3 linked regions of the Tamandua tetradactyla genome follow. The protein of the gene in region 2 purifies or fractionates together with the protein of the main gene of each other region. This does not show direct contact. Links are inferred from orthologs where the notes say so. Each region holds a gene or a part of one and is shown on either strand. Other genes may lie near its edges.

Region 1 (7,260 bases), on a different chromosome or scaffold from region 2:
TACTGTTCTGGTCACTTTCAGTGGAGATTGCTGAAAGGGTGGAGTGGAGGAAACATAACCAAAAAGGGTGTGTCGGGGGGATGGGGGGCTTCGTTTGACCAAATCTGGCTCCTAATATATTTAACCACTTTCAGAATTAGCAATCCTTTCTGTACATTTTGTTCTACTTCTCTCTCTCTCTCTCTCCTTTCTTATGTAATGAAATTAAAACTTTTGGAGCCCACAGTTGACATTTTTCAGAAAATTGAGTTATCAAGGCAGTAATTATTTCACAGGGAGATAAAACTCTCATAGCCCTAACTGTCAAATAGGACCCTTTTCAGATTTTAATTACAAAATAAAATTAGTCTGCTCTTCCTCAGAATGGTTTGTGAGTGGTTAAACAGAGCTTTCCCCAATACTGGTGGTCGTCAAACTCTGCTAATTAGCAATGCTGAGAAATTCCAGTTAACAAGGACATTCTCCAAGACTCTGCAGGTTCCCTGCCGTTTGCCTTCATTTCCATAAGAAGATTAAGAGAGAAGGGGAACACACTCAAATGCAGATGCAGAAAAGAAGCGTTTTTTAACAAGCATCATAATAGTAAGATGCTTGGCTAGTTCTCACCTAATTACTGCAAGTTAAACCTCTATTTGCCACTAAGAAGAAAAAATAAGTCTACAGTCCCCTATCCCCACAAAATTGTTAGTTGGCTCTAGATATAATACTTGAGGGTGGATGGGAGGAGTTTAGAAGAGAGAAAGCAATGGGGAAAAAAAAGTTTAATAAAATCAAGTTACACTTGGCAGCTAAGACTTTTTGACGAGGGCTTATAGTAGAATAAAATCAAATCAGGATACCCCAGGCACTATTCATTTTATCCCTAATTACTAATCTTGCAGCAAAAGTGTGTAGATTTTTACTGTCCATGGAAGGGAAATGTTACCCTGTCTTTAAGTGCTTTCAATTTTCACAAATTGTGCCCACAGCAACATTTTAAGTTCTCAGAGGATGAAGCACCCTGTGTTATTTTGATACTCTAGTAGTCGATGGTGTATTATCAGTTCTGTAGCTGTCTGTTATGAATCTAACAGTTCTGCTTCTGTTGTCTGTTGTCATTGTCACAGTTACTATCATATTTAGGGGCCAGTAGTGGTGCTGGGTTGAAATAGAGTGGCCAGTGATCTAATTTTTAAAATGCATATGTTCTAAAAATCTAATGAGAAAATTGTTTCTATTATCACCACCTTCTTTAATCTTATTTTCATAGCACATTATTATGCATAAACGCCAGCCACAGTTAGTTTATTGCCTTGATAAGTTCAGCAAGCTTAATTAAAATAAAGCTGTAAATAAGTGCAACCAATGATAACACAATTGTAATGTATTTCCATAGCTTATTTATATGATAAAAGCAATTAACAAAGGACCTAGCCAGCCCCTTTCACCTCTTAAATGCATTATGAGAGAGTTCAGACAGCAGCACATGCATCTGAAATTCTTATAAAAGCTTTTTTTTATATATTATCCCAAGGAAAACTATGTGCTGCTTACTATGGGGTGGGGGGTGGAGGTGATTATTTGAAGATTCTGCAACCATCTGGTATTAATATTTATTTTAAAACATATACACTACCATTATTCACACCAACCCCTTATCTTTTTCTTCAAACTTAATTACCCATAAGCTTTGATTCGTTTTTGGAATAATGCTATTAAGCTCAGACCAAAGCATACACAATCATAAAGTGAATGCTTGTTCTGCCCTTCGTTGCGTCTGGACAATCATAATTCATTCATATGTTGAATCTCATAATTTGTACCTATTTTTTCCCATGGTTTAACCTCCCACTTATCTCGAGGTTATATGTTCATTTCTGCTAAGCAAATTAAATCTGATTCTTATGATTTGGTTCCAAGGCTTATATGATTTGTTAGCGTTTCTTTTGTTTAGATTACATGTAATTAGTTTAATCTTCCTCCCACCCCCCTCATTTTTTCCCTTTAATTATTTCTAAACACTTTCTTTTTAAGGTAAAAGCAATAGTCTTAGCGAAACGATGCACCAGTAGGGGGCGCACCAGCCACGCCTCTGAAACCAGGCGCGGTGTGAAGCCCGGCCGAGCCTTCTCCCAGCTCCTTCCGAGCTGTTCCTTCCCTATTTTCTTTCCTAATAATCGAAGCTAATATCACACTTCGATTAAACAGAAACATTATTTGGAAGCGTATCATATTATTTATGCATTCCGAAAAGCTCGGTCTCACCTTCCTGGGCTCCCAAGACCTAAAACAAGCCACAATTTAAGAGAAAAGTGAGAGCCCACGGGGCGTGGCGTGGGGGGGAGGAGATCGGTGGGAAATCCTTTAGGAAGAGTCTGCAGGATTCTTTTTAGGAACTTTTCTGGATTTCCCGTAGTCACACACAGCCTGAATTGAACAAGCCCAGAAAAGTCAAGGAGGGCAGGGATTGGGGAGCGCTTGTGTGAAGAGGGCTGGCAAGGAGCAAAACAGTGCACGGTTCTGTAAAGCAATATACGGAGCGTGGTCGGTGGATAACAGTACATTTTCTTAGGGCGAGTAAGGGTAGGTCAGAGGAAGAGGGGGCGGAAAGAGAGTTACAGAAGAAAGAGAATAAGTAATCCTGATGGTTTAAGCCTTTTTTAAAAAAAGAAATGGCATCAGGTTTTTCTTTTTCTTTTTCTTCTTCTTCTCTTTCCCCTCCCCCTTTGTAGTCAAGTGCATTTTAGCCACAAAGATCCCAACAAGAGAGTGGAAGGAAACTTAGACGGGGCTTTGTTTGACTCCGTGTAGCGACAACAAGAGAAACAAAACTACCTATTTGTAACGGACGTGCTGCCGTTGCTCGCGGCATTGAGCGCCTACCTATTGAAATCTTTAGGTCGGGACAATGGGAGTGCGGCTAAAATTACCATCTTGGGTCTCGGGCGGGCCGGATTCCTGAGCCCCTACCCCGCCCCCAGCCCGGCCAGCCCCGCCCCGCTGGGCCCCCTCCGCCAAGCCGGCCTCCTCCCCCTCCGTGGGCCTGCACCTGTGCCTGTGCTTAGCGGGCCCGGGGCGCCCGGCTCCCGAGGATGCGGCCACCGCGGTAGATGGCTGCGGGGGACATGCCAGAGCTGTTCCTGCCCGAGCACTAGGAGCTATCTCTGCGCAGGAGGGAGTCTGTGAGTGTGGCCCGAGTGCCACCTCCGTGCTGTGCAGTGGGCGCCAGCAAGTGAAACTTACTCTCCCCATTCCCGCACTTTCGAGCCATCGCTCTGTCTCCTCCTTCCCCCAGCCCCTTTTGAAACTGAAATCCTTTGGGGGCGGCTCGGGAGGAAAATGGGGAGAGGGGACGAGAGTCTGTGCGTCCCCTTCGCAACAACCGCGTGGAGGACTGGAGGGGAGGGGGCCCGCGGCTGGAGCAGAAGGGAAGGCTGGGGATTCCTGGTTCCACGCACTGCGTGGGGCCGTGAAGAAGGTGGAGGCGGCCGCCCGCCAAGGCCCTGCCGGTCCTCAGCTCCAGGGTCGGCCTCAAGGCCCGAGCGGGATTTATTTTTCAGAATAAGAGAAAGCAATGTAGAAGCAAAAAGGGTTTGAGGACAGAGCTTTCAGTCTGGTAACTTCTTGTCGGGACAGTGTGAGGTGGGGCCGAGGGAGTGCGGGCACTCGGCGAAGAAGAAAGGAGAAGGGAAGAGCGTGGTGAGGGAGGGCAGTGCTGGGGAAGGGGGTGGGGGGGGAGCTGGGGGGGAGAGTGCGGCGAACGAGCGGGAGAACAATGACAGAACAACTCTTGCATTGCCTGTTTCCTGAAATACTAGTTGGACAGTTGCCCTGAACCACCCACTCCGCCCTGCCCCACCCCCACCCCTTCGCTGCTTCCCGTGCCCCCTCCTCATTTCAGCACCCCGTACGAAAAAGTAAATCAATATTAAGTTTAAAGAAAAAAGAAGAAGAAAAAAAATCGTGTCTTAGTGCTGTTTACCCACTTCCTTCGAAAAGGCGTGTGGTGTGACCTGTTGCTGCGAGAGGGGATACAAAGGTTTCTCAGTGGTTGGCTGCCGGGCTGTGGGAGCCGCCTCCCCCTCCCCGTCCCTCGCCCTCCCCCCTCCCTCGCCCTCCCCCGCGCGGCCCCGCCCCCTTTCATGCAAAACCCGGCGGCGGGGCCCGGCGCGAGTGGAGGAGCCGCGACGCGCTGATTGGCCGCTGGAAACCCATTTATTCCCTGACAGCCCCCGTCACATGGACGGTTGTCTATTAACTTGTTCAAAAAAGTATCAGGAGTTGTCAAGGCGGAGAAGAGAGTGTTTGCAAAGGGGGGAAAGTAGTTCGCTGCCTCTTTAAGACTAAGACTGGGAGAGAAGCGGAGCGAGAGGAGGGGAGAGCAGTGGGCGCCCCGGCCTGGGCCTCCCCCCGGAGCGGCAGCCGGCGGCGGCGGGAGCAGTCCGAGGCGGGCGGAGCGCGGCTTCCATCCCGGACTGCGGCCGGCCTAGCTGTTGCCCCGGCCGGCCCGGCGCCCGCGCTCCACGCCGAGCCCCGCGCTCCGCCGCCCCCGCCCGCCTCCCCGTCGCCTCCGCCCCCGCCCGCGCGCCCCCCGGAGTCCCGGCCGCGCCGAGGGTCGGCGCCTGGCGGGCCGGGCCCGCGCGCAGCGCCCGCATGTACAACATGATGGAGACGGAGCTGAAGCCGCCCGGCCCGCAGCCGGCCTCGGGGGGCGGCGGCGGCAACGCCACGGCGGCGGCGGCCGGCGGCAACCAGAAGAACAGCCCCGACCGCGTCAAGCGGCCCATGAACGCCTTCATGGTGTGGTCCCGCGGGCAGCGGCGCAAGATGGCTCAGGAGAACCCCAAGATGCACAACTCGGAGATCAGCAAGCGCCTGGGCGCCGAGTGGAAGCTGCTGTCCGAGACGGAGAAGCGACCGTTCATCGACGAGGCCAAGCGACTGCGAGCGCTGCACATGAAGGAGCACCCGGATTACAAGTACCGGCCGCGGCGGAAAACCAAGACGCTTATGAAGAAGGATAAGTACACGCTGCCCGGCGGGCTGCTGGCTCCGGGCGGCAACAGCATGGCCAGCGGGGTCGGGGTGGGCGCCGGCCTGGGCGCGGGCGTGAGCCAGCGCATGGACAGCTACGCGCACATGAACGGCTGGAGCAACGGCAGCTACGGCATGATGCAGGAGCAGCTGGGCTACGCTCAGCACCCGGGCCTCAACGCGCACGGCGCGGCGCAGATGCAGCCCATGCACCGCTACGACGTGAGCGCGCTGCAGTACAACTCCATGACCAGCTCGCAGACCTACATGAACGGCTCGCCCACCTACAGCATGTCCTACTCGCAGCAGGGCACCCCCGGCATGGCGCTCGGCTCCATGGGCTCGGTGGTCAAGTCCGAGGCCAGCTCCAGCCCCCCCGTGGTGACCTCTTCCTCGCACTCCAGGGCGCCCTGCCAGGCCGGGGACCTCCGGGACATGATCAGCATGTACCTCCCTGGCGCCGAGGTGCCCGAGCCCGCTGCCCCCAGCAGACTGCACATGTCCCAGCACTACCAGAGCGGCCCGGTGCCCGGGACGGCTATTAACGGCACACTGCCCCTCTCGCACATGTGAGACGGGCCGGACCGCGGACCGGAGAGGGAGAAGGGAGGGGTGCAAAAGAGGAGAAAAAGAAACGGCCTGGAGAAAAACCCAGTACGCTAAAACAAATAAAGTGAAAAAAGAACATCCCATCGCCCGCAGCAAACGACAACTGCAAAAGAGAACCCCAATCCCATCCACACTCATGCAAAAACAGGATGCCGAGAAGAAAACTTTTATGAGAGATCCTGGACTTCTTTTGGGGGGACTATTTTTGTACAGAGAAAGCCGGAGGGTGGGGAGGTGGGGAGGGGGGAATGGACCTTGTATAGATCTGGAGGAAAGAAAACTACGCAAAACTTTTCAAAAGTTCTAGTAGTACGGTAGGAGCTTTGCAGAAAGTTTGCAAAAGTCTTTACCAATAATATTTAGAGCTAGTCTCCAAGCGACGAAAAAAATGTTTTAATATTTGCGAGCAACTTTTGTACAGTATTTATCAAGATAAACATGGCAATCAAAATGTCCATTGTTTATAAGCTGAGAATTTGCCAATATTTTTCAAGGAGAGTCTTCTTGCTGAATTTTTATTCTGCAGCTGAAATTTAGGACAGTTGCAAACGTGGAAAGAAGAAAATTATTCAGATTTGGACATTTTAATTGTTTAAAAATTGTACAAAAGGAAAACAAATTAGGATAAGTACTGGCAAAAATATCTCCATGGTCTTTTAAAAGGGCAAAAGTTTTAGATGTACTAAATTTTTTTAACTTACTGTTAAAAGCCAAATGGCCATGCAGGTTGACATTGTCGGTAATTTATAATAGCTTTTGTTTCCCAACTTTCCATTTTGTTCAGATAAAGACAATATGAAATTACTGTGTTTGAAATATTTTCTTATGGTTTGTAATATTTCTGTAAATTTATTGTGATATTTTGAGGCTTTCCCCCCTTTATTTTCCGTAGTTGTATTTTAAAGATTCGGCTCTGTATTATTTGAATCAGTTTGCCGATAATCCTTGTATATATTTGAACTAATGCCACCCTGATAACAGGTACATTTTCAACTTAAGTTTTTACTCCATTATGCACAGTTTGAGATAAATAAATTTTTGAAATATGGACACTGAAATTATGCTTTGAGTCTTTTATTTATTTGGATAATGCTGGTTATTAAAGCATAACTCCTTTGGGGATTATAATACTGTGCTCAGCCAAGAAAGCAAAATAGCAAAATCCTTGGTATTTCTCCTCTGCAGCGTGTGCTAGCAAAGTTAGCTGCAACAAATAAGTGGCTGGAAGATTAATTAAATAAGTACTCTTTAAAAATGGAGATACTTATGTCGTTTCTAAAATAGAAACTACAGATATATGTCGTAAGTCCACCCCCTCCTTTTGGAAGCAGCGTGAATAGGCATGATGGGGACTCATGCTTAAACTGTTTTATGCCACTTGTTGCCAGAAAGGAGTCAATTCTGAAAATTTTCAACTTGCTTAGCAGATGGGGTATTGAGCCAAATCAGAACCAGGTCGGCGGGTTTTGTTTTCTTTTTCACAGCACAATAGGCCCTTTTGGAAAGCTGGGTATAGAGGGAAATGATACTTCTTGTATAAGAATAATTGCAAACTAGACATGCAAAGTGCTCATCTGCTGAGTTGGGGGTATGGATAATTCCGGCCCTGCTATTGTCTGAGAGCAAACAAGTGGTTTG
Region 2 (7,692 bases):
AGAACTGAGTGGTGTTTCTTCTCTTTTTCATTTTTCCCAAAGAGCTTAGGGAAGATTGATACTTTTTTTTTTTGCATGGGCAAGCACTGGAAATCGAACCCGGGTCTCTGGTATGGCAGGCGAGAATTCTGCCACTGAGCCATCTTTTTAGCTGTTTGGCATAATTAAGAAGTGAAGCCATCCTTTCCCAGAGTTTCTTTTGAAGAAAGGTTTTAAATTAGAATTTGATTTTTTTAAATAGTTATAGGACTTATCAAGTTTCTAGTTCTTCTTGAGTCAGTTTTTGCCAATGGTATTTTTGCTCTCTGTAATTTAAACCCTGTTTTCATTTGTAACAGTTGCCGGAATGAAATATATCTGAAATGAATGGCTTTTAAAAAGGGAAATTTATCAAGTTGCAAGTTTACAGGCATCCAAGGAAAGATACCTCAATTCAAGGAAGGTCGATGGGTCAGACACCAACTCTGTCAGCTGGGTAGTCAGGTGGCTGGCTCTGCTGGTTCCTTGCTCTTGTTACTTTCAGGCTCTGTCCCTGTGAGTGTTCCTCACTTTGCTTCTGTGGAGCCAGCTTTCATCTCTTGACTTCCCTTGGCTCTCTCCAGGTTCTGGCTTGCTTAACATCTCATGATGATGTCTGCTAAGCTCCAAGTATCTCCAAACATGCATGTTTCTGTTCTCTGAAGTAACTGATCTCCAAGCATCTACATCTGTTCTGTCATTGCTGAGGCTTCCGACACTTCTGACTCTCCAAAATGTTTTCTATTTTAAAGGAATCTAGTAAACTAACCAAGATTCACCTGGAATGGGTGGAGGCACATCTCCATCTAATCAAAGGTCACATCCACAACTGGGTATCCCACATCTCCATGGGGATATTCTAATCAAAAGTTTCTATATACAATGTTGAATCAGAATGAAAAGAAATGGCTGCTTTGACAAAATTGGATCAGGATTAAAACACGGCTTTTCTGGAGTACATGATAGATTCAAACCAGCACAAATCCCTACTGTTATATTCTGTCAACATTCATATACCTATATATTTTCCCTTTTCATTCTTCATTCCCATTTGGCTCTGTGATCTTATACTGGGTAATCATTTTCCTTTTGCCTGCTAATTTTTTCGCACATTTCTTTTTTCTTTCTTCCTCCTTCTTCATTTTCTTTTTTTTTATGTATTATTTTAATTTTACTTTCGGTCTTGAAATTCTTGAGAGTTTTCTTTGGCTTGCAAATGGGCAAGGCTTGAAGTGTCAGCGAATTAACAATCCAGGAGCAACCCTGAACTTCTTGGGGAATGGAGTTGATCAATAAATTTCTATATGTCCAGTTTTCTCCCCACTCAGTGGGACAATTCTGAGTGTGTTCCACACAGTCTTTTAGAGGGTCCCCAATGAGACTGAACTCCAATTACCCACAGTGGTAAAACATTTATCAGGATATACTGTTTATTGGCTTTTCTTCCTTCCCTGGCTCATTTCTCCAGTTCCACACAGTGCTTCCTAGGGTCACCTCCCAAATAAGTAACTTTACCTCCAGTTCTGCTTTTGGGGAAATCAAATCTAAGACATGGTCTATCTCAGGGATCCAGCCCTTCAAGATCTCAACACAAAGTAATAGGGGCTCATTAGTGCTCCCCACTGCATTAAGGGCCCAGACATCAATCCCTGTTATCTTAGCCCTGAGTGCTGGTCAGAAGAACTGCTTAGCATTTTGGCTTTTTAGCCTATCTTTCTGGAATTGATATTTATCCCTAGGAGAAAAAGTGGTTACAAACACAAGACTCACCTTCCTGGTTCCATTCTTCCCTTAGGTATTGATTTGGTAATTCATTATTATTTTGTTAGTTCTCTTGTGCCTTTGGGCAGATTTAAATAAATATTTTGTTTAACTTTTCTAATTGTCCTCAGAGGGAGATTAATCCAAATTATCAGAAAGGAATTTTGACTCTTCAAAGAGCTTTTGCCTGTGCCTTGTTTATCTTTATTCCCCTATCTCCATTTCCTCTACCCCCACCCATGCCATGGACTTTCACAACCCCGTGCCTTTATCTTGTTTTCCTCTGTCCAAAATGTGAACCACCAAAGTGTAGAGTCCTGGAAGAGGAGGATTGTCCCAAACATGCCAGCCTGGGACAACAAAAAACATCAATGCCAAGGTAGTTTTTAGTCAAAGATCAAGTGGGCAGTTTGAATGGGCTGCCAAGAGGCCAGACTTCAACAAGGCGAGAAAGTCACAATTCTAGGAAACTCGGCATGAGTAAATCAAGTCAGAAGCAGGGTGGAAGCAAAATGAAAAGAAAAAGATGAAGGACAGATTTGGAAAAAAGAGAAATGAGGCAAGGTATGGTCATCGTGTGGAGCTGGCTCATAGGTACATTTAAAAGGATCAGGTTTAAGCCAGGAATTATATTTGGCCAGAACATTCTTGAGGGCTCAGCTTAATTCTCTTGGCTGGAATCACTTCCTCCTTTAACTTCCATAATACTTTTATTATATTTATCATATCACTTTTTTACTGTTGACTTTGAACAGTCTGTTCCTTCTAAATTTTTAACTACTAGATGGCAGCAGTAGAATCAGAGTCAGAAGATCTGGGATTAACTCTCAACTTCAGCACCTGCCTATGGTCTCTGGGCCTCAGTGTTCTCGTCTATACAATGGGGAGAATATTATTTACACCATAGTGTGACTTGAGGATTAAAAGACACAAAGTATACAAAATGGTACACAGTGAGTTTTTCGTAAATAAAAGCTTCCATTTGCTGAACCTATTATGAACTGCTCTAGGTGCATGAGATACATTATCTCACTCAGACCTCACTATGACCCTTTGTAGCTCTATTATTATGGAATATTTTATTAATAGAGAAAAAAGAATCTGATGGGTTAAATAGCTTAATCAATGTCACAATGTCCTGGTAAGTTACAGAACCAGGACTCAAATCCAGGTCTGTTCTGGCTCTAAACTAGCAGTCTCTATTGGGCCACCCTGCTTCCCCATATTGGTCTTGAACTCACTTTAAAAAAAAAATTAATTTTATTAATTTTTAAATTAAAAAAATATATAACACAAACATTAACATATGATCATTCCGTTCTAATAATCAATAATTCACATCATCACATAGTTGCATATTCAGCATCATGATCATTTTTTAGAACATTTGCATCAATTCAGAGAAAGCAATAAAAAGACAACAGAAAAAATTCATACATACCATACTCCTTACCCCTGCCTTTCATTGATCACTAGTATTTCAATCTAAATTTATTTTGACATTTTGAACTCAGTTTTTAGTCTAAATTAATCTGGGCCAATCTTGGAGATGGTGACCTACAAAAGTGTTCCTTTGTATGTCTCCAGGGATACCTAGCCTATCCTGATTTATAAATTTTCACACATTTCGCTCAAAGGAACTTCCTAAGCAAAAGAGTGTGTGTTTATGTTATGCATTAAGAGGGGAAATGTGACATTTCTACTTAAATACATTTTACATGACCCCTAACTTACGGAACATCCACACAGACTGGACAAGATGCTTTATGTTTTCAGTTTCTGTTCTTAAATTCCTTAAGTTTGAGAGTTCCTCAGAGCTTCTTGTCTTTTTGATGAGATTATAGGAACCCAGAAAAAAGCATATAGAACCATTAAAAAATTAATGTATAGAATTATATACATTATATGTATATAGAATACATACATCATCTTTCATTTAAAAGTAATTTTAAAGAATCATGAATCATTTAAATCAGGAGATTTGAAATTTCCACATTTTGTTTTTGTGTTAAGTGAAGAGGGTGGTGATGGGGGAAATTGGGAAGCGTAGGATTATAAAATAAGTTGCTGCAAAGTCAGCTCCATGATCCTACTATTACCTTCTGGGAAGGTCCTTACATAACTACCTTACTTCTCCAATAAAAATAAAACTGTTTATTTCTTGCTTCTTAACTGTTTTTACGCTGCCACTTGAAATAAAACTGCGGATGCAGGACGAAAAAACAAGGAAAACCCCCTACGAGTCCGCAAAATAATTAGGGTTGCCCCAGGGAAATCATAAGAAGCATACAAGAACTCCTCTTCCTTCTTACACACACACACACACACACACACACACCCTCCCTCCAGAGCTCGCTCCCCGCCGCCTCCTAGCTAACACGTGCTCTCCTGAACACTCACTCCGGAGATTCGCCCCCCCGGGGGGGCTGGGCTCGGAAGCCGAGCCGGCCAATCCGCACGCGCCTTACAGCGTCGTGGCCCGACCACGTTGAGCCGTCCAATCGAAAAGGTCTTACCGCCCGTTTCCCGGAGCCCCGCCCCCTCTCCGTCGTGCCCCCGCCTGCCGGTCTCCTCCCTCCTCCTCCACCCGTTCGCCCCTCCCCCGCCCCTCCGGAGCGGAGCCTGCGAGACGGAGAAACTGGGGCAGAAGTGAAGATGGCGGCGGAGGTGCTGGCGGCGGCGGCGGCTACGGCTTCTCGCCAGTGACGCGCGGTGCGGGCTCATCTCCCTCGCCACCTTCCCTAGTCCGGACCCCGTCCGCCGCCGGGACCACACCGACCCCGCAGCCCGCCCCTCTCCACCCTTCCAGTCGCCCCCTTTCCCGACTCCCGGCTGCCGCTGGCGGCGGCGCGCCTCGGGTCCCAGCCGCCGGCCTCGCACTCCTTCGACCTGTCGCGGGGGGAGCGGGTGGCGTGTTGATCCGCCCTCCTGCCCTCCCCGCCGGGCCGCCGGGCCGCGGACATAACGCCCGGCAGGGAGGCGGCGGCGGCCCCTGCGCATTTGTTTCCCTCCATTTGGGCACTGGGAGGCGGCGGCGGCAGTTGTGGGTTTTGGGGAGGGGAAGGGTATTCGGGGAGGAGGGTGGGCGAGAGAGGGAGAGGGCTGTCCCCGGGAGGAGGACGAGTAGGAAGCACCATGACGTCCATCCATTTCGTGGTTCACCCGCTGCCGGGCACCGAGGACCAGCTCAATGACAGGTAAAAGGGCCGGCCGCCGGGCGAGCGGGGGAGGGCCGCCCTCCCCTCCCCCACGGGGCCGCGCTGGGGCGAGCGCTGGTGTTTACGCGCTGGCCGACCGCTGTTGGGGGGCGGGGGGTGGACGTGGTCCTTGCTGCCCTCGGTTAGGCCCCTTCTAGGGCAAACTTCTTGTCCCTGGGGCCGGGGGATGCGGGGGGAGCGCGGTGTAGACGAGGGACGCGGTGTAGACTGGAGAGAGCGCTGCAGCCCCCGCCCAGAGGAGCCGCGTTGAACTCGGTGGAGATGGGGGGCTCGGTTCCCGGGGGCGGGCTGTAATTACCGCCCAGGCCCGAGGAATCCATATTAGTCAAAGTTGAATTGAGACAGACAATGCGGATGGGGGATGGTGAAGGTAAAAAGAGGGAAGAGGAGAAGCGGAGAAGCGGGGCTTGGGGCTCGGATTGGGCTGGGGCGGGCTCGCCCCGGCCCCTAGGAGCTCTGTCCGGAGGGGTGTACGGAAGCCACCAGGCTTGGGGATCTCGGGAAGAAGCCGATTCCCGGCAGATCGGGGTGGGGGTGGGGTGCGCCGCGAGGGAAGCAGGAAGCGCCATGATTATTGTTATTATTATTAAATTTGAGCCCCTGCAGTGAGCTTTGCCAGCCCGGGGAGGGAATGAATTCCACAGGGGGTGGGGGAGCGGGTTCTCTTTGCTCTCTCTCTTCCGAAACGGTGCTGGCAGTTCATCCTCAAGTCTCTTTGGTGCGAGCTTTTTTGTTTCCTTTTTTATTCTAATGATAGTGTTTTCCTGAGTTGTAATTTGACAGCTGAAGACCGTGCATAGAGTCAAAGGAAAACTCTTACGTTTGCAATTCGCAGTGTTGCTTAACGCGCTGTACATTTCTGAGATGGGTTTGCTATGAGCGGACGAGGAATTATTATTTTTTTGTCTTTTATAAGAAGGCTGTTTTCGCTGTGGATTCCTCTTCATCTCTTCACCAGCGTACCCTGCCAGTTCAGGATATTCAAATTGCAGGGCCGCCTGCTCACCGGGAACTGAGATAAAGCAGGAAAAGTTCCTTTACTGTTGCAAAAACAAGAGACTCAGGAGGTTGAGAGAGGCCTCCATTTAACCATGCTTTAAAATCTAGGGCTCAGATCTAGTGATGGGCATAATGTTAAAAGGGTCAGAAAATGGGGCATTTAAACTCTTCCTCCGCTCCAGGGCTTTATCTGCTATCTGTATTTCTTTTGAATGTAGAAGCCATTTGGTCCCAAATTTAGAAGTTAGGTATAAATTTTTGCTAAGTGACCCGATGACATAATTTGCATGACGCCCTGTTTGTCATTCACTTCAAAGAGGGAAGAGGAGGCTGAATTTGCTGTTAAGATATTGTCTCTGTCTCAGTGTATGTATGTAACCGCCTCAGGTCGGCCAACAGCTTTTGTATCCAAAAGCGGGCTGTTTAGTTTCTGGCACTGGGTTCGGATTTGTCTGATCTTGGCTGTAGCCATATTGTATTTAACATGTGTGTGAAACTTTTGAAATACTTTTTGGAAATGTTAACTATTTGGAGTTGTCACATAGTTCCCTTAAATATTGAGATAACTTTTAAGCTTTTAAACGTTTTGTCATGTGCTCCTTACTATGATTTTATTTTGTTAGAGATCTTTTTAAGACTTCAGCATAAGATTCTTTGTAAATGTAGAAGTCATCGTATTAAGACCAGGCTAGTAGTAAGGATAGGTTTAATGTCGTTCACAGAACCATGTCAGTAGCGCTTAACTTAGAAAATTATTTTCTATATTACTCCTAACGTTATGTATCAAGAATCCTGACTAGTTTACTCAATTGGCTATGCATGTCAAAAACTATTTATTTTACAGTTGTGGTAAATGGTTCATTTTTGCACTTTTTAAATTTTGCTTCATTGAGCAATATACAAGTTATGTCTTTTTTAAGCTACCTTTTCCATGCCTACTGCAAGCAGTTTATCAGCTTATGTTTTTATTACTGTGATGTCTGTGTGTAATATTAAGAATATTTAATCTTCTTGAGTTTTCACTTCCTGAAACAAGGAAAAAGACAAGTGGATTTTATTCAGATCATAAAATGTGTGCATCATTGTGAAAAATATTTGAAAAAGGGAGGTGTTGTACGTAAAATTTTAGGGCTCTCTAGTTGTATCTAAAATGTCTCATCCATGTAGATTTATTTTGTGAAGGCAGTATTTGAGACAGTTATGACCCTGTTTTGAAGTAGTTGACTTGCGGTGGGAGCTGTTCTGTGTCTCCCCTGCAAAAGAAATGATCCTCTTTGCATACCTACTCGCACAGTTATAAGATCAGCTTTTTGCTGCATTGCTTGAGAAAAATCTTTTTTTGAGAGTTTTTCTTTCTGAAACTTTTTAATTGACTGTAACAAGCAGCTCAGCCTATTTTCAACAGATACAAACTTTATTAAGGGTTACTAAGTTTGGGGAAATAGAAAGGAGTGTGCTAATATAGTTTGATTTTTGTTAATTTATTTTTTATTCAACATACAAACATTCTTACAATGTGATCATTCCATTCTTGTTATATAATTAATAACTCACAATATCATCACATAGTTGTATATTCATCATCATGATCATTTCTTAGAACATTTGCATCAATTCAGAAAAAGAAATAAAAAGAAAACAGAAAAAACCCCATACATACCATACCTCATACCCCTCCCTTTCATTGATCACTAGC
Region 3 (7,828 bases), on a different chromosome or scaffold from region 2:
GAAAGTTGTGGGACCTGAGGGGTTCGAGTACACACCCCTTTCTCTCTAGCTGACCTCTCTAATATTGAGAAATGGCTAGGTTCATTCTCCAGCAACCCAAGCGCCTATAATAAGGAATTTCAATATCTAGCTAATGCCTACAATTTAACCTGGCATAACATTCATGTAATCTGCTCTTCTTCCCTAACTACAGATTAAATGGACCGCATTTTCAATGCAGTCAGGGCTCATGCTAACCAGGTGCATATAACCGACCACACAATGCCGGTAGGGGCCGAGGCAGTGCCAGGCCAAGAGCCAGGGTGGAAATATCAGGTTGACACTCCAGTGGGGAGGAACGGGTGAACTAAATGGGACAAAATGCTTACATGCCTCATAGTCGGCATGCAGAAAGCTTCACATAAAGTAGTAAACTTCCATAAACTAAGGGAAATTACCCAGGGTCCTGATGAAAACCTGGCCACTTTTCTACACCAGCTCGCAGAAGCCCTCTCCCAATATACCCGCCTAGACCCCGACTCAGAGGCTGGTAAAACTGTTTTAGCCACATACTTTATATCCCAATTGGCTCCAGATATAAGGTGTAAACTTAAAAAAATTGAGGACGGTCCTCAGGCCCCTATCTGTGACCTGGTAAACACTGCCTTTAAAATTTTTAATACTCATGATGAACTAGAGAGGGCAGAAAAGGAATCCCGGGACCGCCAAAAGGCAACTTTACAAACCCAATCCCTGATTGCGGCTCTGCGGTTCACTTCAACAGAGACGAAACTGGGTACGACTAATCCACCACCAGGAAAGTGCTTCAAATGTGGCCTTGACGGACACTGGTCCTACCAGTGCCCCAGTCCTCGACCGCCCAAGGGACCATGCCCTCTCTGTGGTACAAAGGGACATTGGAAAAGTGACTGCCCCTTGGCGCCTGGCCGTGGAGCGGCCATCCTTCCAACCCCTAACCTACTGCTAGCAGTCCTGGGCCTGGCCATTGACGACTGACAACGCCCGGCCTCAGAGACCTCAATCACCCTCATTGAGCCCAGCGTAACAATCAAGGTAGCGGTTAAGTCCACCTCCTTTTTAGTGGACACAGGGGCTATCTTTTCTGTCCTCCCCTCTTACTCAGGTCAACTCCTTCCTTCCCAGGTCACAGTTATGGGCATAGACGGCCATCCTTCACGCCCCTTAAGTACTGGGCCTCTTACATGTTTAATAGAAGGGTACCCCATTACACATTCTTTCTTAGTAATGCCTTCTTGCCCCGGCCCGCTAATGGGGCAAGATCTTCTTGCCAAATTAAGAACCTCACTACACTGGATAAAAAACCCTCAAACAAAACTTCATAGCAAGTGCCAGACTAACGTCACTATCCACAGCACCCATGCCCCCAAAGGACAATATTTCTGGTGTAATGGAACTCTTACCAAGTGCCTTAATTCCACTGCCCCAGGACCATGCTTCCTGGTTACTATTGTTCCTCAATTGACCCTCTATGGGGAGTCCGAACTAACCTGGCTACTGCCCTCTCCTCGCTCATAAAGGGCTGCCTTCCTTCCCATCATGGGAGGCATCAACCTAATTGCCTCAGTTGCAGCCTCAACCACACTGGGAGGGGCACTGGGACATGGTATTTTAACCTTTCAAATCTTCGAAACTTGACTACAGGTAGCCCTGGAATTGACATCAGAATCCCTCTCCTCTTTACATTACCAACTTATCTCACTAGCACAGGTAACTCTTCAAAATTGACGGCCCTTAGATCTGCTGACATCTGAAAAAAGGAATGTGTATATTCCTCCAAGAGGAATGCTGTTATTACGTCAATGAGTCAGGTCTGGTGGAACAAAATATTCAAACCCTAAACAAACTAAGAGACGATCTCTACCACAGAAAACGAGGAACCAACTCTGCTTTAAGCTGGTTTTCTTCTCCTCTGACGACATGGCTCCTCCCGCTACTAGGACCAGTTATCCTAATCTGTCTCTTTTCTCCTAGCTCCCTGCCTCCTCAACTTCCTTCAGGGATGCATGAAGGAACTATCCTGGATAGCAGTCAACCAGATGCTCCTGCATCATTATCATCACCTGCCCTCCTCACCAGATTCCTACAGCCAGCCTCCCCACTCCCCTAGTCATGATGGTTCCGGCCTATAACCCCACGCTGCCCCATTACAGCAGGAAGTAGCCAGAAAGATCTCAGCGCCCTATTATCACAAAAAGGCTGGAATGTTAGGTCGGGGAAACGGGGAAGGGCACTGCAACTGGAGCTGTGGAGGCTGTGTCGCCAGCCTGACTTCCGGAACTAATGAACTGCCCCTTCCAGACGTCACCTGACCTCCATCCTTAAAAGCTGCCTGTGCCAAAGCCCGCATGTGCACTCACCTCCCTCCATCTTGGCTTTGATGAGTTCTGCCTGGAGCACAGAAATACCCCCTACACACACTTTAAATTTCCTGGTGTACCTTTCTTCTTTCTCACCCTTTCGCCTCCTAAACCTTTCAGTTCACTCTGTCACATTAATTTATACATTTGTGGAGATATTAAGGCAAAGTAGGGAAATGGAAAAATAAATCAAGGGAAAGATCAGAACACACACACACACACAAAAGTGAAATTAAAACTAAGTTAGTTTTGTGCAGCACTTCTATAAGAATGAAATATATATGCATGTGTAAGCTACAGAATAAAAATTGCATAATTTTGGAGATTTCTCATACAAGTGAGAAGTTCTTAGGTTTGCATTTAATAATGTCATTGCACAACATAAAGGTGAACGGGAAAATTCAGGCTAATGTAAAATTTTAATTTTTCATTTCTTTGAAATTCAGTCAATAGTAGATAAAAAAACATAATGACAAATAAAGGAACTTCAAAAGAAAGAAAAAAGTTCTACCTTTAACCCCATTATTTTCTGCATTTTGAACAAGAGGCCACACATTTCCATTTTCTGATGGGCCCCGTAAATTATGGAGCTGTGCCTGGATATTTCTTAACATAAATTTAGAATCTTGCACGTTGGAAAGGTTTGAGAAAGTCAATTATCTTATTGTCCAATAAGCACTGATTTTTAAAGAAAATTTTAAGAAATTATACAGGTGACTTAGAGGAAGCAGACTTTGAGAGGAGGAGCGGTTCTGAGAAAATCCAGGGAACTTGTAATGGAAGGAGACCATTAAAAGGATGCAACTTGAAATAAAGCACCCTGAAGTCAGTGAAATTAGGTTGAATCTCAGGTGAGCTGTAGAGACGACAAAAAGTATACCTCTGCATTGCACAAGGGTTAAATTGTCAGAGCTTTTACACCCCTGTCTTCTGTTACTAGTTAAACTAGTTACTAGCCATTTCTGATAGCCTGAGAGCAGCCTAGCAAAGAAGACTCAGGGGCTGGCTGCTGGGATTGAAGCACATTAGGAGCCAGGAAGCACAAATATTAATGCATACTTTTAAAACTAAACATCAGAAATTTAGAGTACAAACACTGCAAGTCTTCACTACCATTCCATCCTACTCCCCTCAATAGTGGTAACTAATGATAATAATGCACTGTTCATTCTTCCAGGTCATTTTCTGTGTACTTAACATTCAGTCCACAAATATTTATTAGTGCCCACTATGTATCAGTTAGATGCTGCAGGTAAGTAAGACAGTCTCTTCTCTCATGTATCTTACATTCTCATGAGTATATATGCATACATAATATTTGTCTCTATTCTGTAAGGCCTATTTCATTTTACAATGTATCATGGATATCTTCCTATATCAATATATGCAAATTTGTCAAATATTTTTTTATCCCTCACCCAGTTTTCCCTATTATTAACACCTTACATTTCTTGCAACTGACAAACCAGTATCGATGCATTTTCATTAACTAAAGTACATATTTCATTTAGATTTCCAAAGTTTGTATCTAGTGTCTTTTCTGATCCAGGATCCCATCCATGATGCCACATAACATTGAGTTGTTGTTTCCTTAGACACTTCTTGCCTGTGACAATTACTCAAATTTTCCTTGGGCTTGACTACCCTGCAAGTTGTGAAGAGGACTAACAGGTATATTGTAGAATGACTCGTTATTGCAGTGTCTGCTGTTTTTCTCATTAATTTAGACAGGGATTATTGGTAATCAATAATTACAGTATTCACAATAATGTCCGCAATTCAGAGAACACTTTTTAATTCGGCAGCAACGGTGGAAGTTAGCTAGAAACAGAATAATTTGCAGGAATTAACTCGGACAAAGTTTAAAAAACTTTTTTTTAAAAAGACATTTAATGGACAACAGTGAACACTGAAGCAATCGTTCATATATCCCTTATTTATTGATTGTACTCTGTCCAAGAGCTGCAAACACAAGAATACAATTTTCGAAGTTTAGACTAAAGACACCACAGTTACGTTCATATCTCACTTCTATCCTGATATGTTAGCGCTTTTTGCAAACCCCAGATTCATACAACCACCTCCCTTCTTTGTCTTGCGCGCCCTGGCGCCTTCTCCCGGCCCGCCCATTAAAAGGGGGCGTGGCCTGCGTGCGGACGCAATGGCGAGCGTGCTGACGTCTGCTTGCGCTGACCGCCGCTGGCTTCTCCCGCCGGCTGGAACCGTATCCGCGCGAGGTAGACGATGAGGCGGGTGCCAACGGCCTCGGCAGCGAGGCGGGAGGTGGCGCGGGAGCGCGGCATCGAGGGGCCATTCTAGCCTGGACCCAGGGCCTGCGTCTTCGGGCCCAGCAGCCCTCCTGAGAAAGGCGTCGCGCCGCAGCTGCCGAGCCGAGGACACCCGAGGGTGGCGGACGGCGAGCCCGGAACTCCTCGGTGGGTGCGGGCGTTGTCTCCGCGGCGGGTCTTCCTCAGGACCCCGCTCCTCTCGCCATGATCGACTCGGTGAAGCTGCGCCGCGACAGCACGGCCGACTTCTTCTCGCACTACGAGTACCTGTGCGCGCTGCAGGACTCGGTGCCGCTGCCCGCCGTGCGCGCCTGCCTCCAGGAGGGCGTGCTGGACTTCAACGCCGACCGCCTCCGCGTGGTGGACTGGGCGCCCCTCCTGAGCTCCCTCAAGGTTAATAAAGATCTGCCCTTGGTCTCTATAAAGAGCTACTTCCAACCGTGGCTTGGGGAAACAGGTTTGTAGCTCCCGCTGCCAGTGCCCCTGGTGTCGGTGCGGCGTGCCTCCCTCTGGACTAGCCGCGAAACGGGTGGGAGCTGTGGGTGTCGAGCGCGGGGCGTGTGTGCAGTAGACGGTTCTGCAGCCTAGAACCCTTTCCAGCTGGGGGACCCTGGCGATCTAGATGTCCGAGCCTCCGTTTTCTCCTCTAACGTGGCTGGGTGACAGAACTCAGGGATTCACCAACTGAGTTCATGCTTGTACAGCATGTTGCACAGAATTTGGAACATCAGTAAGCCTTGGACAAATACTAACCTATTTTGCTGATGACCTTGCCTCACAAAGAACAAAGCGGTTTAGAAAATGATACGTTCCAGCTTCTTTCTTGATTTTTTTTCTATTAAGCCATTTATGTTAAAAAAATTTTTTGTTTTTATTAGTAGCGTGAAATAGAAGGAGCACAGGTGTTGGAGACAGGCTATTTTGAATTCGAGGATTTATATTCTATATGACCTTGACGAGTTATGTACTCTTTGAACTACAATTCCTGCATTCGTAAAATGGCATGAAAAACAGCTCTTTCCATGGAGGGTTTTAAGATTAAAGATTGTATGAAGCATTCTGGCACTAGAATGGGCTCACCAAGCACTGCACTGGAGATACAACCCCTGACCTAAAAGAATCTCTCCTTCACTTGGGGGAGGCAGCAGGTAAACACAGTTCTTGGTCAGTGCTGTGTAGAGTGAGCCCCAGAAATTGGAGGAGGGAGGTGCTATCTGATCTATTTTTGAAGACTGTGTAGAAGGTAGTCTGATGGCAAGAGAGAGCAACTTCTGTAAAAGTCTTGGGAATATGAGACAATATGGCAAAAGTGAGGAACTGAACTAGAACTTAAAGTTTGAGACGAGCCAAAATTTGAATGTTAAAATCCGAAGCAAGGGACATTGTTTGCCCTGTCATGGATTTAGAATTTTTCCTTGATATCTATGAGGAATCCCTGAGGCATTAAGTTGATGGAGTGATGAGATTGGCCTCAGATTCAGGACCTCACTCCATTCTCCTGTGGAGGGCAGTGTATTGAAAGCAAATTGAATCCTGGCATCTAGAGGTTCTAATTATAAAGTATGGGGTTGGCCAGAAGGATTGTATTTCAGAAATCAAAGAGAATGGATAGATCCTGATGACCAGTTAGAAGAGAGAGGTCATTAAGAGACACGAGGCAGAAGAATTCCCAGGTGACCTGCTTAGGTGATAGTTCAGAGCAGCACCTTTCACCGAGATACAGGCCACAACAAAAATGGATTGGGGATGGGAGAGGATCTTAGTTCACCAGTCTGAGGAGCGTGCATACATGCCTGTTAGGAAACCTGTAGCTTGAAGGGGGTCTTGGCCTAAGATACAGATTTGGGTTTTATGAAAGTCAAGTGTTTGAAGGTTTGGGAATGACTAAGGCTACCTACAAAGAAGGTCCTGAAAATTGTAGATGTGAAGTGTATGGGCTTGAGTACATTTATAAGCTGAGAAGAAGGAGTTGGCCAAGAGGAACGGTATGAAGATCTAGAACAGAAAAATATTGTTAATTTATTCAACAAGCACTGAACACCTGCCATGTTCTTGGCCCTCATGTAGGCTCTGGGGTAGTGCCATGTATTATCTCAACATCAAGGACAGTTAAGCACATTCTCTGCTCAAGAGAAGTCAGATTATGCACTGCATCTCATTCTGGTGTAGGAACTGTTCTTTACCTCTGAAAGGACTTCACCAAAGTAATAACTTAGAAATAAAAAAAAATTTAAAGTTGGAAGGACCTTTGCAACAATTTCTGTCACCTTTTATTTTCAGAGGTAGCAGATGCATAGATTTCAGTGACTTGCTCACAATCACACTGCAGAGTTTAAAATTATTAGTCATGCTAGTGTTTGTAATCTTGTCTAATATTTTAAGTTTACATTGAATGTAAGAAAAATGCATTACAGGGACCATTACTCTTCAAATTTCCTTAACTGAATCTTGTCTCCCACATGCACTGCATGTGGGATGTAGATTTTCACCTCCTGTATATCATTTGTTCATCCTTAAGTAGGTTTTGCCTGGACTATTGTAAAAGCTTCTGACTCATTTAGCTATCCCAAGCTGTTTCTCATAGTTCATCTGCCTACCTCAGCCGGAGTGATCTTTCTAAAATAAAAGCCTAGTGTACTCAAAATGATTTGTCCTTATAAGGACCATTGTGTATTGATGGTGTAGTGTGTGCTCTGCACTCAGGGATGCAGATGGGAGCTAAAATCTAAGTTGTGTGGTCAAGCTTTGTGGGGCCTCTCTGCTGAGGAAGAGGTGCCTTTTCTAATTGATCTGTCTGAAGTAGGTGCCTTTTTCTACTTGTTCTTTGTTTGAATTGGTCTGGCACCTTTTTCGAACAGGCCAGTGGCACTCCTGAACCTTGTCACTTGTTAGATAAAAGCCAGCCTCCCTCTAGCTTTGGCCTACCTCTTAACATAATTCCGGCTGTTTCCTAACTCACAACTGTGGCTTTAGCCATACCCAGCTGCACTATTTACAGTGCCTGGGTGCATGTGACAGGCCTGGGTTCCTTGGCATGCACTGATCTCTTGTTAAAGCAGCCTCCTCTCCTACTCCACATAGTCATCCTCATCTTTCCAGACTCAAATTCAGCCTTATCTTGAAGTCATTGCTTGAAGTTAACAACTTTGCTTCCATAAAAAT

Evidence for each region.
Region 1: the proteins of UBR5 (region 2) and SOX2 purify together in Homo sapiens (affinity purification with western blotting; 3 studies listed by BioGRID and IntAct, with this or other methods). This does not show direct contact. The link is inferred for Tamandua tetradactyla from reciprocal best matches to the Homo sapiens genes UBR5 and SOX2.
Region 3: the proteins of UBR5 (region 2) and centrosomal protein of 78 kDa-like purify together in Homo sapiens (affinity purification with western blotting; 3 studies listed by BioGRID, with this or other methods). This does not show direct contact. The link is inferred for Tamandua tetradactyla from reciprocal best matches to the Homo sapiens genes UBR5 and CEP78.

What each region holds. Positions count from the first base shown.
Region 1 is NC_135331.1:80,244,135-80,251,394, forward strand, and holds SOX2 (transcription factor SOX-2), read left to right. Parts: upstream 1-4,632; coding exon 4,633-5,586; 3' UTR 5,587-6,672; downstream 6,673-7,260. UniProt on the Homo sapiens protein: Transcription factor that forms a trimeric complex with OCT4 on DNA and controls the expression of a number of genes involved in embryonic development such as YES1, FGF4, UTF1 and ZFP206. Binds to the proximal enhancer region of NANOG.
Region 2 is NC_135332.1:146,898,132-146,905,823, reverse strand, and holds the start of UBR5 (E3 ubiquitin-protein ligase UBR5), read left to right. Parts: upstream 1-4,690; 5' UTR 4,691-4,914; coding exon 4,915-4,976; intron 4,977-7,692. UniProt on the Homo sapiens protein: E3 ubiquitin-protein ligase involved in different protein quality control pathways in the cytoplasm and nucleus. Mainly acts as a ubiquitin chain elongator that extends pre-ubiquitinated substrates.
Region 3 is NC_135328.1:108,966,208-108,974,035, forward strand, and holds the start of centrosomal protein of 78 kDa-like, read left to right. Parts: upstream 1-4,759; 5' UTR 4,760-4,870; coding exon 4,871-5,123; intron 5,124-7,828. Other genes in the region: centrosomal protein of 78 kDa-like, read left to right, coding at 1,993-2,150. UniProt on the Homo sapiens protein: Centriole wall protein that localizes to mature centrioles and regulates centriole and cilia biogenesis. Involved in centrosome duplication: required for efficient PLK4 centrosomal localization and PLK4-induced overduplication of centrioles.